3 linked regions of the Anolis sagrei genome follow. The protein of the gene in region 3 interacts with the protein of the main gene of each other region in a biochemical or structural test. Links are inferred from orthologs where the notes say so. Each region holds a gene or a part of one and is shown on either strand. Other genes may lie near its edges.

Region 1 (3,753 bases), on a different chromosome or scaffold from region 3:
TCTCTCCCTCCCTCCCTCCATTCCCTTCCATCCTTCTCTTCTTCCCTCCCTCCCTTCCCTCTCTCTTTCCTCCCTTCTTTACCTCCCTCTTTCTCCTTCCCTCCCTCCTTCCCTTCCACCCTTTCGTCCTTCCTTCCTTCCCTCTTTTTCTTTCCCTTCCTCTTTCCCTTCTTCTTTCTTCCTTCTCTACTTGTTTCTTTTCTCACTTCCTTTGCTCTTTGGTGACATCCTTCCTTGTCTCTTTCCTTCTTTCCCTCTTTCTCTCTTTCATTCCTTCTCTCCTTCCTTCCTTCTCTACCTTTCTTTCTTATCTTCTCTCTCTCCCTCTTTCTCTCCTTCCTTCCTGCCCCCTTTCTGTGTGTTTTGCATGTATATATGTGTGTGTATTTGTGTATATACATGTATATATGTAGTTTTGCGCATGCGTTGCAATGTATTTTCTTTTTTTTTTTTTGCTTTTAAAGTCTCTTCTGCTGTGTTTTCCAGTGTGATGGTCACTTGTTGGCCTGATACGTGCTTTGTGTCCCAATTTGGTGTCAATTCGTCCAGTGGTTTTTGAGTTCTGTTAATCCTACAAACAAACATTACATTTTTATTTATATACATTTGGGAGTTGTAGTTGCTGGGATTTATAGGAAGGAAGGAAGGAAGGAAGGAAGGAGAGAGAGGGGCCAGGAAGGCAGTCCAATCTTGTCTCTTGCACTGTGCTTATAATATGATCTAATGTAATGTAATATAATATATACATATAATATTGATAATATTATAATGTAATACAATATATTACTACTAATAATTAAATGATATTATAATTATATATTTTATATTAAATGTAACATTACTAATAATATTACAGTATAATGTTATAGTACAATATAGTAATATATAATATTAATGTTGTGCTATGATAATAATATATTTATTTACTTTTTACTTGTAAGCCGCTCTGAGTACCCTTCGGGGTGAGAAGGGCGGCATATAAATGTCGTACATAAATAAATAAAGAGAGAAGGAAAGACAAAAGGGAAGGAAGAAGAAAGAAGGAGAGAGGGAGGAAAGAGGGAGGGAGAAAGAGAGAGGTAAGGAAAGGAGGGATGGAGGAAGGAAAGAAAGATAGGATGGTGAGAGAGAGGAGGGCCTGAGAAAAGACTCCAGGGAGACGCAGTAATAATAGCCACGAGCATGGTTGTTCTTCGTCTCATCAATAATAGTAGTGGAAGAGCGGGATATATATGCCATAAATCAGGGGTCCTCAAACTACGGCCCTCCAAGGTCCTCTACCCGGCCCTCGCTCAGGGTCAACCTAAGTCTGAAATGACTTGAAAGCACACAACAACAACAATCCTATCTCATCAGCCAAAAGCAGGCCACCATTTCCCATTGAAGCACTTTTTTTTGTCGTGTCAGGAGTGACTTGAGAAACTGCAAGTCGCTACTGGTGTGAGAGAATTGGCCATCTGCAAGGACGTTGCCCAGGGGGCACCTGGATGTTTTGATGTTTTACCATCCTTGTGGGAAGCTTCTTTCATGTCTCTCAATCAGGGCCAGCCAATCACCTCCCAACAAAGGATTCCCCCAAGCAGTAAGAAGCCAGATTTTGAAACTGCGAGGCCATTCAATGCTAACACCTCCCAACCAAGGATTCCCCCAGGCAGCAATCAGACAGACTTTGATGCTGCGAGGCCATTCAATGCTAATCAAGGTGGCCCATTGCAACATTCCCCCACGCAGTAAGAAGCCAGATTTTGAAACTGCGAGGCCATTCAATGCTAACACCTCCCAACCAAGGATTCCCCCAGGCAGCAATCAGCCAGGCTTTGATGGTGCAAGGCCATTCAATGCTAATCAAGGTGGCCCATTGCAACATTCCCCCACGCAGTAAGAAGCCAGATTTTGAAACTGCGAGGCCATTCAATGCTAATTGCAACATTGGCAACTACCTGAGTGCTTTCTCCCATCCTGGACATTATTCCACAGATATATAAACCCAATTTTCCTAGTTTCCAACAGATCTCACAATTTCTGAGGATGCCTGCCAGAGATGGAGGCGAAATGTCAGGAGAGAATACTTCTGGAAAGCTGGAACACTCACAACAAGCCAGTGGCGACGGAAGCCTGAGAGGCCCAATCCTCCTCCCTTCGCGCTCCGTGCCAAACGGGAAAGGCCTACCAGGCCTTTGTGTGGGGGCGAGGCCTACCTCTCTTTCTCGGGAAACGAAGCCTAACCCTTTCTCCGGCCTCCTCCTCCGCCGAGGCCTGCTCGCTCACCTCCAGCCTCGGGCCTTCCTCTTCCGCTTCCTCTTCCGCCTCGAACGGAACCCCGGACCGAGATGTGGGAGAGCCTTCTTTTCCCCCCTTCGCTCGGGCTCGCTCGCTTTCGCACTGCGCATGCGCGTTTTCCCCCTCACACTCTCTCGCTCGCTTTGGCTCACACTGCGCGTGCGCAACAGCCGCGCCGCTACTCTCTCTGGGTGATGTAGTCCCTTTGCCGCCTACTCGCGTCTGGGGAAAGGCAAACGGAACTACGCTTCCCAGGAAACCCCGCGGCGCTGCATCTCCGCTGCGGGAATAGGGAGAGAATATGAAGGTGCGCTTTCCCACTCTGTCCACGCGATGGCAGCGCACAATCTCAAGCAGAGTGCAATATTCCCCTGGCCGCAAGAGGGCGGCAAAGCCACCTTCCCATTAGAACTTCACCTGCCATTGACACTAATACTAATATCCTTGGAATTGTAGTTTTGCAAGGCCTCCTCTGGCCAAGACTACAACTCCCAGAATCCCATACAGCTCTGTAACTAACTAAAGGGCATCTCTGCCGCAGCCCAATGCTAAGGGAGCCTGGGAGGTGCAGTTTTGCAAGGGCTTTTGCTTCCTTTGCCAAACTACAGCTCTGTAGGGTTGTTTTCCCATTTAGTGACTTGTAAAGGTACGAAACATTGTCTCATTTCCCTAAAACCAAATCAATATATATATATATATGTGTGTGTGTGTGTATAAAATAGTTTAAATTTTCATGAATATTATTTGATTAGTTTAATGAATATTTTTCTGAATATTTTTGAGAATGTTTTATATTTTTGAGAATATTACATATTATATATTTTTCTGAATATTTTTGAGAATATTTTATATTTTGTGCATATTATTTGATTAGTTTAATGAATATTTTTGTGAATATTTTTGTGAATATTTTATATTTTTGTGAACATTATTTCATTAGTTTAATGAATATTTTTGTGAATTTTTTATATTTGTGTGAATATTTTAATGAATACTTTGTGATGATGATGATTTATTCCTGCCAGACAGGAAGATAGAATTACTATCTTACTATATTTTTACTATATTACTAGCCACCCCCTGCCACACATTACTGTGGGAAAAAAAGTCTGTGTATATGCACTTTGTATGTGTATATATTTGCATATGTATGTGTGTGTGTGGTTTTGTGCATGTGTTGTAATGCATTTTTTTGTTTTTTTGGCTTTTAAAGTCCCTTCTGCTGTGTTTTCCAGTGTTTTAATGAGTGATGGTCACTTGTTGGCCTGATTGGTGTATTGTGTCCAAATTTTGTGTCAATTTGTCCAGTGGTTTTTGAGTTATGTTCATTCCACAAACTAACAGTACATTTTTATTTATATAGATTATTATTATTCCTACCAAGCAGGAAGATAGAATTACATCATCATCATTATGATTATGATTATGATTATTATTATTATTAGTAGTAGTAGTAGTTCTTGCCAGGCAGGA
Region 2 (3,753 bases), on a different chromosome or scaffold from region 3:
AAGAATTAAATGTCTTCTGATTTCCTGGCTGGAGTCTGCGCCTGCAGTAATCTTTGCACCTGGAAATACAAAGTCTGTCATTGCCTCCACGTTTTCTCCCTCTATTTGCCTCCAGCAGATGGTATTATTATTATTTTATTATTAATATTAATGTTACAGATGGCCTGCAGGGTCTCTCTCAAATCTGTAATTCTAAGTAAGGAGATACACACACACTTAGGCGATCCCTCGTTGTCCGAGTAGGATTGTCTTCCAAGATCGGTGTACTGATGGTGGGTCCATAGGTGATTGTGGAGCCCTATTCTTGTTCTGCATGTTCTCCCACAGTGAGGGCATTGGTTTGCAGGTGGAAGCCGGTCCTGATTGGGGTTGGCTTTACACGCCTTCCTCTTGGCACGTTTCTCTTTCGCCCTCCATTCATGCCTCTTCAAATTCTACAGCACTGCTGGTCACAGCTGACCTCCAGCTGGAGCGCTCAAGGTCCAGAGCTTCCCAGTTCTCAGTGTCTATGCCAGAGTTTTTACGGTTGGTTTTGAGCCCATCTTTAAATCTCTTTTCCTGCCCGCCAACATTCCGTTTTCTGTTCTTGAGTCGGAGTAGAGCAACTGCTTTGGGAGACAGTGGTCCAGAAAAAATGGCTGGTCCAGCGGAGTTGATGGCGGAGCACCATCACTTCAATTCTGGTGGTCTTTGCTTCTTCCTGCACGCTGACATTTGTTCACCTGAGATTTGTAGGATTTTTCAGAGGCAGTGCTGATGGAATCGTTCTAGGAGTTGCATGTGATGTCTGTAGACAGTCCATGTTTTGCAGGCGTATAGCAGGGTTGGCAGGACAATAGCTTTATAAACAAGCACCTTGGTATCACTATGGATGTCCTGGTCCTTAAACACTCTGTGCTTCATTTGGAAAAATGCTGCACTCACAGAGCTCAGGCAGTGTTGAATTTCAGTGTCAATGTTGACTTTTGTGGAAAGGTGGCTGCCAATGTAGTGGAAATGGTCAACATTTTCTAATGTTACACCATTAAGTTGTATTTCTGGCATTGGAGAGGGATTGGCTGGTGACTGCTGGAATAGCACTTTGGTTTTCTCGGTGTTTAATGAGCTTTATAAACAAGCACCTTGGCATTCCTATGGATGTTCCGGCCCTCAAACACTCTGCACTCGCAGAGCTTAGGCGGTGTTGAATTTCAGTGTCAGTGTTGACACTGAAATACAACACATACACACAAACATACACATCCCATCACACACACAAACATGTTGGAGAAAACAGCCCATCTAAAAGCATCACTGGCTGATAGGGGTTTTTGGCCCAGTCCTTGAAAAGGCCCACCAATAGCAGGAGGTTATAGCAGGAGGTTGTGGAGAGAGAGAAGATAAAAGAGAGGCTCACCGTCGCGCATGCGCAGAAGACGCTTAACCTGACCCTGAGGTAGACCATTCAAAAGGCTGTTCCCTTCCCCCGTTACTACTCCCCCCTCCGTCGCCATGACGACGCGCCTGGCTCTTCTCCCTTCTCTTCCCCTTCCCTTCTTCCCCCGCCGTGCGTGCGGCACGGTGACACTCGCTCCGCCTCCGCCATGGGCTCGCTTTGCGCAAGCGCAACCGGGCCTTGAAGCGGCGGCGGTTGTGGCGGCGGCTGAGGGGACGGAAGGAGGGAGGGGCGCCGAGAGGAGAACGTGAGCGTAGGCCGCGCGAGGCGGGGCCGGGGTCACGACCTCTGACCTCCCGCCGCCGTCAAATAAGCCCTGAGGGGGCTGCGGATGCGTCGCGCCTGTCAGGTCAGTCGGGGGCGGGGGAACGGGAGGAGGAGGAGGAAGGAAGGAGCTGGGGCGGACGGGCGAGGCCTTCCCAGGCCCTTCTTGCCTTCCTTGAGGGAGCCTCCCGAAAATGGAAGGAGGGGAGGAAGGGCGGGAGGAAGGGCGTCCTGGGCGCCGTGCTCCGCTCAGCCTCGCAATGGCAGCCGAGCAGCCGCCGCCCCCCTGACCTTTCACCCACAGGAAAGGCTTGCGTCTCCCCTCCCCGGATCCAGGCCGCGCCCCGAGGCCCGCGCCTCTCTCTCCGCAGCCCAGCCGGGCTTCCTGGGCAGGGAGGGAGGGACGGAGGGAGGGAGGAAGGGGCGCCGGAGGGGGCGACAGCAGCCATGTTGGGGCCCCTGGGTGACAGCCGAAAGGCGAGAGGGAGGGAGGAAGCAAGGCAGTCTCTGCTTCTTTGCTTCCAAGCTGCACACAAAGAGAATCTCGTGAATACATTGCGCTGTTTTCGCCGTGAACCCTTAGATAATTTATTTATCGTGTCAGGAGCAAACCAAACGGTTGTATTAAAAACAAAGTTTGCAAACTTGGCATTTTATTAAATGTCCTTTTTCAGTAGCTGGCCACATGGAGTGCCTCTGGTGATGCTATAAGAAGGTCTTCCATTGTGCATGTGGCAGGGCTCAGGTTGCATTGTAATAATAATAATAGTAATAATAATAATAATAATAATGAAGCTGACACGATATGAGGATTTAAAGATCAAACTGCAAACACTCTGCCACAAACCAGTAAAGGTGGTCCCTGTGGTGATTGGCACAAACCAGTAAAGGTGGTCCCAGTGCTGATCAGCACACTGGGTGCAGTGCTTAAAAACCTTGGCCTGCACTTAAAACACAGTTGGCGCTGACAAGATTACCATCAGCCAGCTGCAAAAGGCAACCTTACTGGGATCTGCACCCATTATTCACTGATACATCACACAGTCCTAGACACTTGAGAACTGCCCAATGTGTAATGCAATACAACAGCCAGCAGAGTGATCATTTTTCCTGTGGACTCATCTAATAATAATAATAATAAGTTTGTATTACCCCCCCCCCCCCTTCGTGGGAAAGCTCAATTCCACAATCCTCCTTTTAATAAGCTCCCCTCCGCAAATAACCTGCTTCTCCTTTTATCTCACCTGTGTTTTTAATCAGTTTTTAAATCATTTTCTCGCACATGTAGCCACCCATTGTCACTGTGACTGTGTTTATTGTAATCTTATATCATTAATGTATTCATATGTTTTATGTAATTATGATGTTGTTTGTTGCATGTGTTTTTGGTTTTAATTCGTTGATTGGGCTTGGCCTCATGTAAGCCACCCCGAGTCCCCATTGGTAAATAAAGTTTATTATTATTATTTATTATTATTGATGTTGTCATACGGGGTGACAGTCAAATTGAGGAAAACTTAACCATTATCAGGACCACAAAATCAAACTGCAAAGGCTCTGGCATAAACCAGCACAGGTGGTCCCAGTAGTCATCGGCACACTGGCTGCCATGCCAAAAGATCTCAGCCAGCATTTGGAAACAATAAATATTGAGAAAATCACAATCTATCAACTGCAAAAGGCCACCTTAGTTGGATCTGCACACATCATTCGAAAATACATCACACAGTCCTAGACGTTTGGGAAGTGTTCGACTTGTATTGTCGAAGGCTTTCATGGCCGGAATCACTGGGTTGTTGTAGGTTTTTTTGGGCTATATGGCCATGGTCTAGAGGCATTTTCTCTTGACATTTCACCTGCATCTATGGCAAGCATCCTCAGAGGTAGTGAGGTATTTGTATCTACTTGTGATACAAAATCCAACATATAGATCTCATTTGCTGTGACATACTGCGATTTTGTGTCAGTAAAATAATAATAATAATCTTTATTTATACCCCGCCACCATCTCCCCAAAGGCGACTCGGGGCGGCTAACATGAGACCAAGCACAGA
Region 3 (3,753 bases):
TCCAACTCTCTTCACCAGGGCAAGAAATCTAATCAAAGCCCTTCAGACAAAGAGCCATTCGGCCATAGATATAGATAGATATTATTCACACACAGAGAGAGATATAGCTTCATAGATTTGAAAGGGACCCCTAAAGATGGACTATGATATGCTGCATATTTCAGAGTAGGCAAACCAGACACTCTCCACATCAACACTGACAAAGAAACATCACGAAATACTGTTTACCCACAAGCATAAAGAAATTACATATATTAGAAACCAACACTTTCTCATGACTTTATTTTCCAGATCACCAGACTGGACCACAGCAACGCGTGGCAGGGGACGGCTAGAAATATCTATATAAATAAAAATGTAATGTTCGTTTGTGGTATTCACAGAACTCATAAACCACTGGGGAAATTGACACCAAATTTGGACATGATAGACCTAACAACCCAATTTATGTCCTTCACTCAAAAAATTGATGTTGTCATTTGGGAGTTGTAGTTTATTTATTTATTTATGGCATTTATATGTCACCCGAAGGGGACTCAGAGCGGCTTACAATATATATTTTCATACATTATATTATTAGCATAGTACAATATCAGCATATATTACTATATTGCACTATACCATTATATTGCAATATAAGTTGCTGGGATGTATAGTTTACCTACAATCAAAGAGCATTCTGAACACCACCAACGATGGAATTGAACCAAACTTGGCACACAGTTCCATAACCAACAGAAGATACTGGAAGCGTTTGGTGGGCAGTGTCCTTTGGTTTTGGAGTTGTAGTTGTAGTTCACCTACATCCAGAGATCACTGTGGACTCAAACAATGATGGATCAGGACCAAACTCTACACCAGTGTTTCTCAACCTGGGGGTCGGAACCCCTGAGGGGGTCGCGAAGGGGTGTCAGAGGGGTCACCAAAGACCATCAGAAAACACAGTATTTTCTGATGGTCATGGGGATTCCATATAGGAAGTTTGAGCCAATTTTATCGTTGGTGGAGTTCAGAATATTCTTTGTTTGTAATGAACTATAAATCCCAGCAACTACAACTCCCAAAAGTCAAGGTCTATTTTCCCCAGGCTCCACCAGTGTTCACATTTGTGCATATTGAGTATTTGTGCCAAGTTTGGTCCAGATCCACCATTGCGTGAGTCCACAGTGCTCTCTGGATATAGGTGAACTACAACTCCCAAACTCAAGGTCAATACCCACCAAACCCTTCCAGTGTTTTCTGTTGGTCATGGGAGTTCTGTGTGGCAAATTAGGTTCAAATCCATCATTTGTGGAGTTCAGAATGCTCTTTGGTTATAGGTGAACTATAAATCCCAGCAACTACAACTCCCAAATTACAAAATCAATCCTCCCCCAACCCCACTAGCATTTACATGTGGGTGCCCAGTTTGGTCCAGTGAATGAAAATACATCTTGCATATCTGATATTTACATTATGATTTATAACAGTAGGAAAATGACTGTTATGAAGGAGCAACAAAAACAATATTGTGGTTGGGGGTCACCACAACATGAGGGACTGTATTAAGGGGTCACGGCATTAGGAAGGTTAAGAACCACTGCTCTACACGAACACTCAATATGCTCAAATGTGAACACTGGTGGAGTTTGGGGAAAATAGAATCTTGAAATTTGGGAGTTGTAGTTGCTGGGATTTACAGTTCACCTTCAATCACGGAGCATTCTGAAACCCACCAACGATAGAATTGGGTTGAACTTCCCACACAGAACTCCCATGTGGGCCACAGCAACGCGTGGCAGGGGACAGCTAGTTATAAATATTATATGTATATACAATATATTATACTACATTATATTATTATATGGCATCCTGGGAGTCATAGTTTGGGCAGAGAAGGCCCAAGACCTTGTAAAAAGACCCTAAAAGTGGTCTCAAAGTGCATTCAGTACATTCAGCAGCATTCCCAGGGCAAGGCCTTCCGCCTCAGGGCCTTGGTACCCAAGTGCAGCATCCAGGGAGTGGGGAGGGCACACAGTAAACCTCGGTAAGGAAAATATCTTTCCACAAGTTTCCCTCTTGAAGCCTCTTGAAGCCCCCCGCCCCTCCTCCTGGAAGAATGGTTTCTCTTCCTAAGAAGCCACGGGGGGCCTTTTCCGGCCAGGAGCCCCCCCGCTCCTCAAAGGCCCAACGTCACTCTGCCTCCGCGCGCGCGCACGCACCGTAGTGGAAGTTGCCTACATCAGGGTCGTAGAAGTAGGCCACCGTCTTCGCCATGCCGCCCGCCCGCCCGAGTAACGGACGCCCCACGGGCCGCGTAGCCCCGCCCACAGCGTCCTACGTCATTACGCAGGCAGTGACAGAGGAGAGTGCGCTCTCTCGCCCGCCTTTTGGGGGCGGGTGCTTACTCGAGTCTCAGCAAACTCTCGCGATATTTGACCAGCGGCCCAGGCAAATGTCAGCATTCGTCTCTTTTCGTTTTACGTCAGGATCCCTTCTTTGGGCTTCTGAAGTGTTGACATTGATTGTTGGGGCTCCTTGTTTAAATAAACCTTCCCCAAGTCTCTGCATAGGGAAATGGAAACCAGGAGTGCTTTTATTTACAAAATATTCATTACAAAATGGATCAATTACAACTACAATTGATAAAATGCAAAAGAATGAAAAAAGATTAAAATATTAAATCTATCTAATACAATTAATCTCACCCAACCTATTAAACTTGTATTCAGAACACATCATGTGATGTGCAGGGCTTGATGAATGTAAGGCTGGGGTAAAAATTGCTGGTAGAAACATAAACAACCTTAGATATGCAGATGATACCACTTTGATGGTCGAAAGCGAAGAGCTGAGGAGCCTTGTAATCAAGGTGAAAGAAGGAAGTGCAAAAACTGGGTTGCAGCTAAACATTAAAAAAAAACCAAGATTCTGGCAACCAGAATGATTGATAACTGGCCCATCATCATTGGTAAAGAGTCTGGGAGTCCTTTTGGAACCTCTGCTGACGATGGGGGCCCAGGTCTCTGCTGTTAGCAGAACTGCATTTTTTCATCTGCGGCAGGCTAGACGGCTGGCCCCCTACCTGTCCAGGGACGACCTAGCTACGGTGATCCAGGCCACGGTCATCTCAAGACTGGACTACTGTAACGGCCTCTACATTGGCCTTCCTCTGCCGGTGATCCGGAAGCTCAAGTTGGTACAAAATGCTGCTGCTCGGCTTCTTGCGGGAATTCCGATGAGATGCCACATAACACCAATCTTACTACAGCTGCATTGGTTACCAATTGAGCACCAGATCACTTTCAAAGTGATGGTATTCATTTTTAAGGCCTTGCATGGTCTGGGGCCGATGTACCTGAGGGACCGCCTCACCCCCTACCAACTCCAGAGATCCCTCCGTTCTGAGGACCAAGATCTATTGGAAGTCCCCAGTGTCAAGACCTTGCATCTAACAGCAACCAGACGCAGAGACTTCACAGCAGTGGCACCATCACTCTGGAATACTCTGCCACCTGAAGTCCGTGCCTTGTGGGACTTACCAGCTTTCCGCAGGGCATGTAAGACATACCTATTTCGACAGGCTTTTAATGTTTGATATTGCTGTTTTTAAATTGTTTTAAATTGCTTTTAAATTTTGTTAGATTTTTTTTCCATTTTTATTTAATTTTATTTAAGAAAACATACATTTGCAAATGTTTGTTGCATACAGTGCAATACTCGCCATCTATTAATGTTCTATATTCCTTTATCTCATAGTATATTTCTATTAAG

Evidence for each region.
Region 1: the proteins of HDAC3 (region 3) and general transcription factor II-I form a complex in vitro, tested with the Homo sapiens proteins (2 studies listed by BioGRID). The link is inferred for Anolis sagrei from reciprocal best matches to the Homo sapiens genes HDAC3 and GTF2I.
Region 2: the proteins of HDAC3 (region 3) and NR2C1 form a complex in vitro, tested with the Homo sapiens proteins (4 studies listed by BioGRID). The link is inferred for Anolis sagrei from reciprocal best matches to the Homo sapiens genes HDAC3 and NR2C1.

The regions. Positions count from the first base shown.
Region 1 is NC_090031.1:29,915,645-29,919,397, reverse strand, and holds the start of general transcription factor II-I, read right to left. Parts: upstream 2,411-3,753; 5' UTR 2,269-2,410; exon of another isoform or gene 2,199-2,268; intron 1-2,198. UniProt on the Homo sapiens protein: Interacts with the basal transcription machinery by coordinating the formation of a multiprotein complex at the C-FOS promoter, and linking specific signal responsive activator complexes.
Region 2 is NC_090025.1:155,091,641-155,095,393, reverse strand, and holds the start of NR2C1 (nuclear receptor subfamily 2 group C member 1), read left to right. Parts: upstream 1-1,462; 5' UTR 1,463-1,784; intron 1,785-3,753. UniProt on the Homo sapiens protein: Orphan nuclear receptor. Binds the IR7 element in the promoter of its own gene in an autoregulatory negative feedback mechanism. Primarily repressor of a broad range of genes.
Region 3 is NC_090024.1:135,123,063-135,126,815, reverse strand, and holds the start of HDAC3 (histone deacetylase 3), read right to left. Parts: upstream 2,330-3,753; 5' UTR 2,257-2,329; coding exon 2,202-2,256; intron 1-2,201. UniProt on the Homo sapiens protein: Histone deacetylase that catalyzes the deacetylation of lysine residues on the N-terminal part of the core histones (H2A, H2B, H3 and H4), and some other non-histone substrates.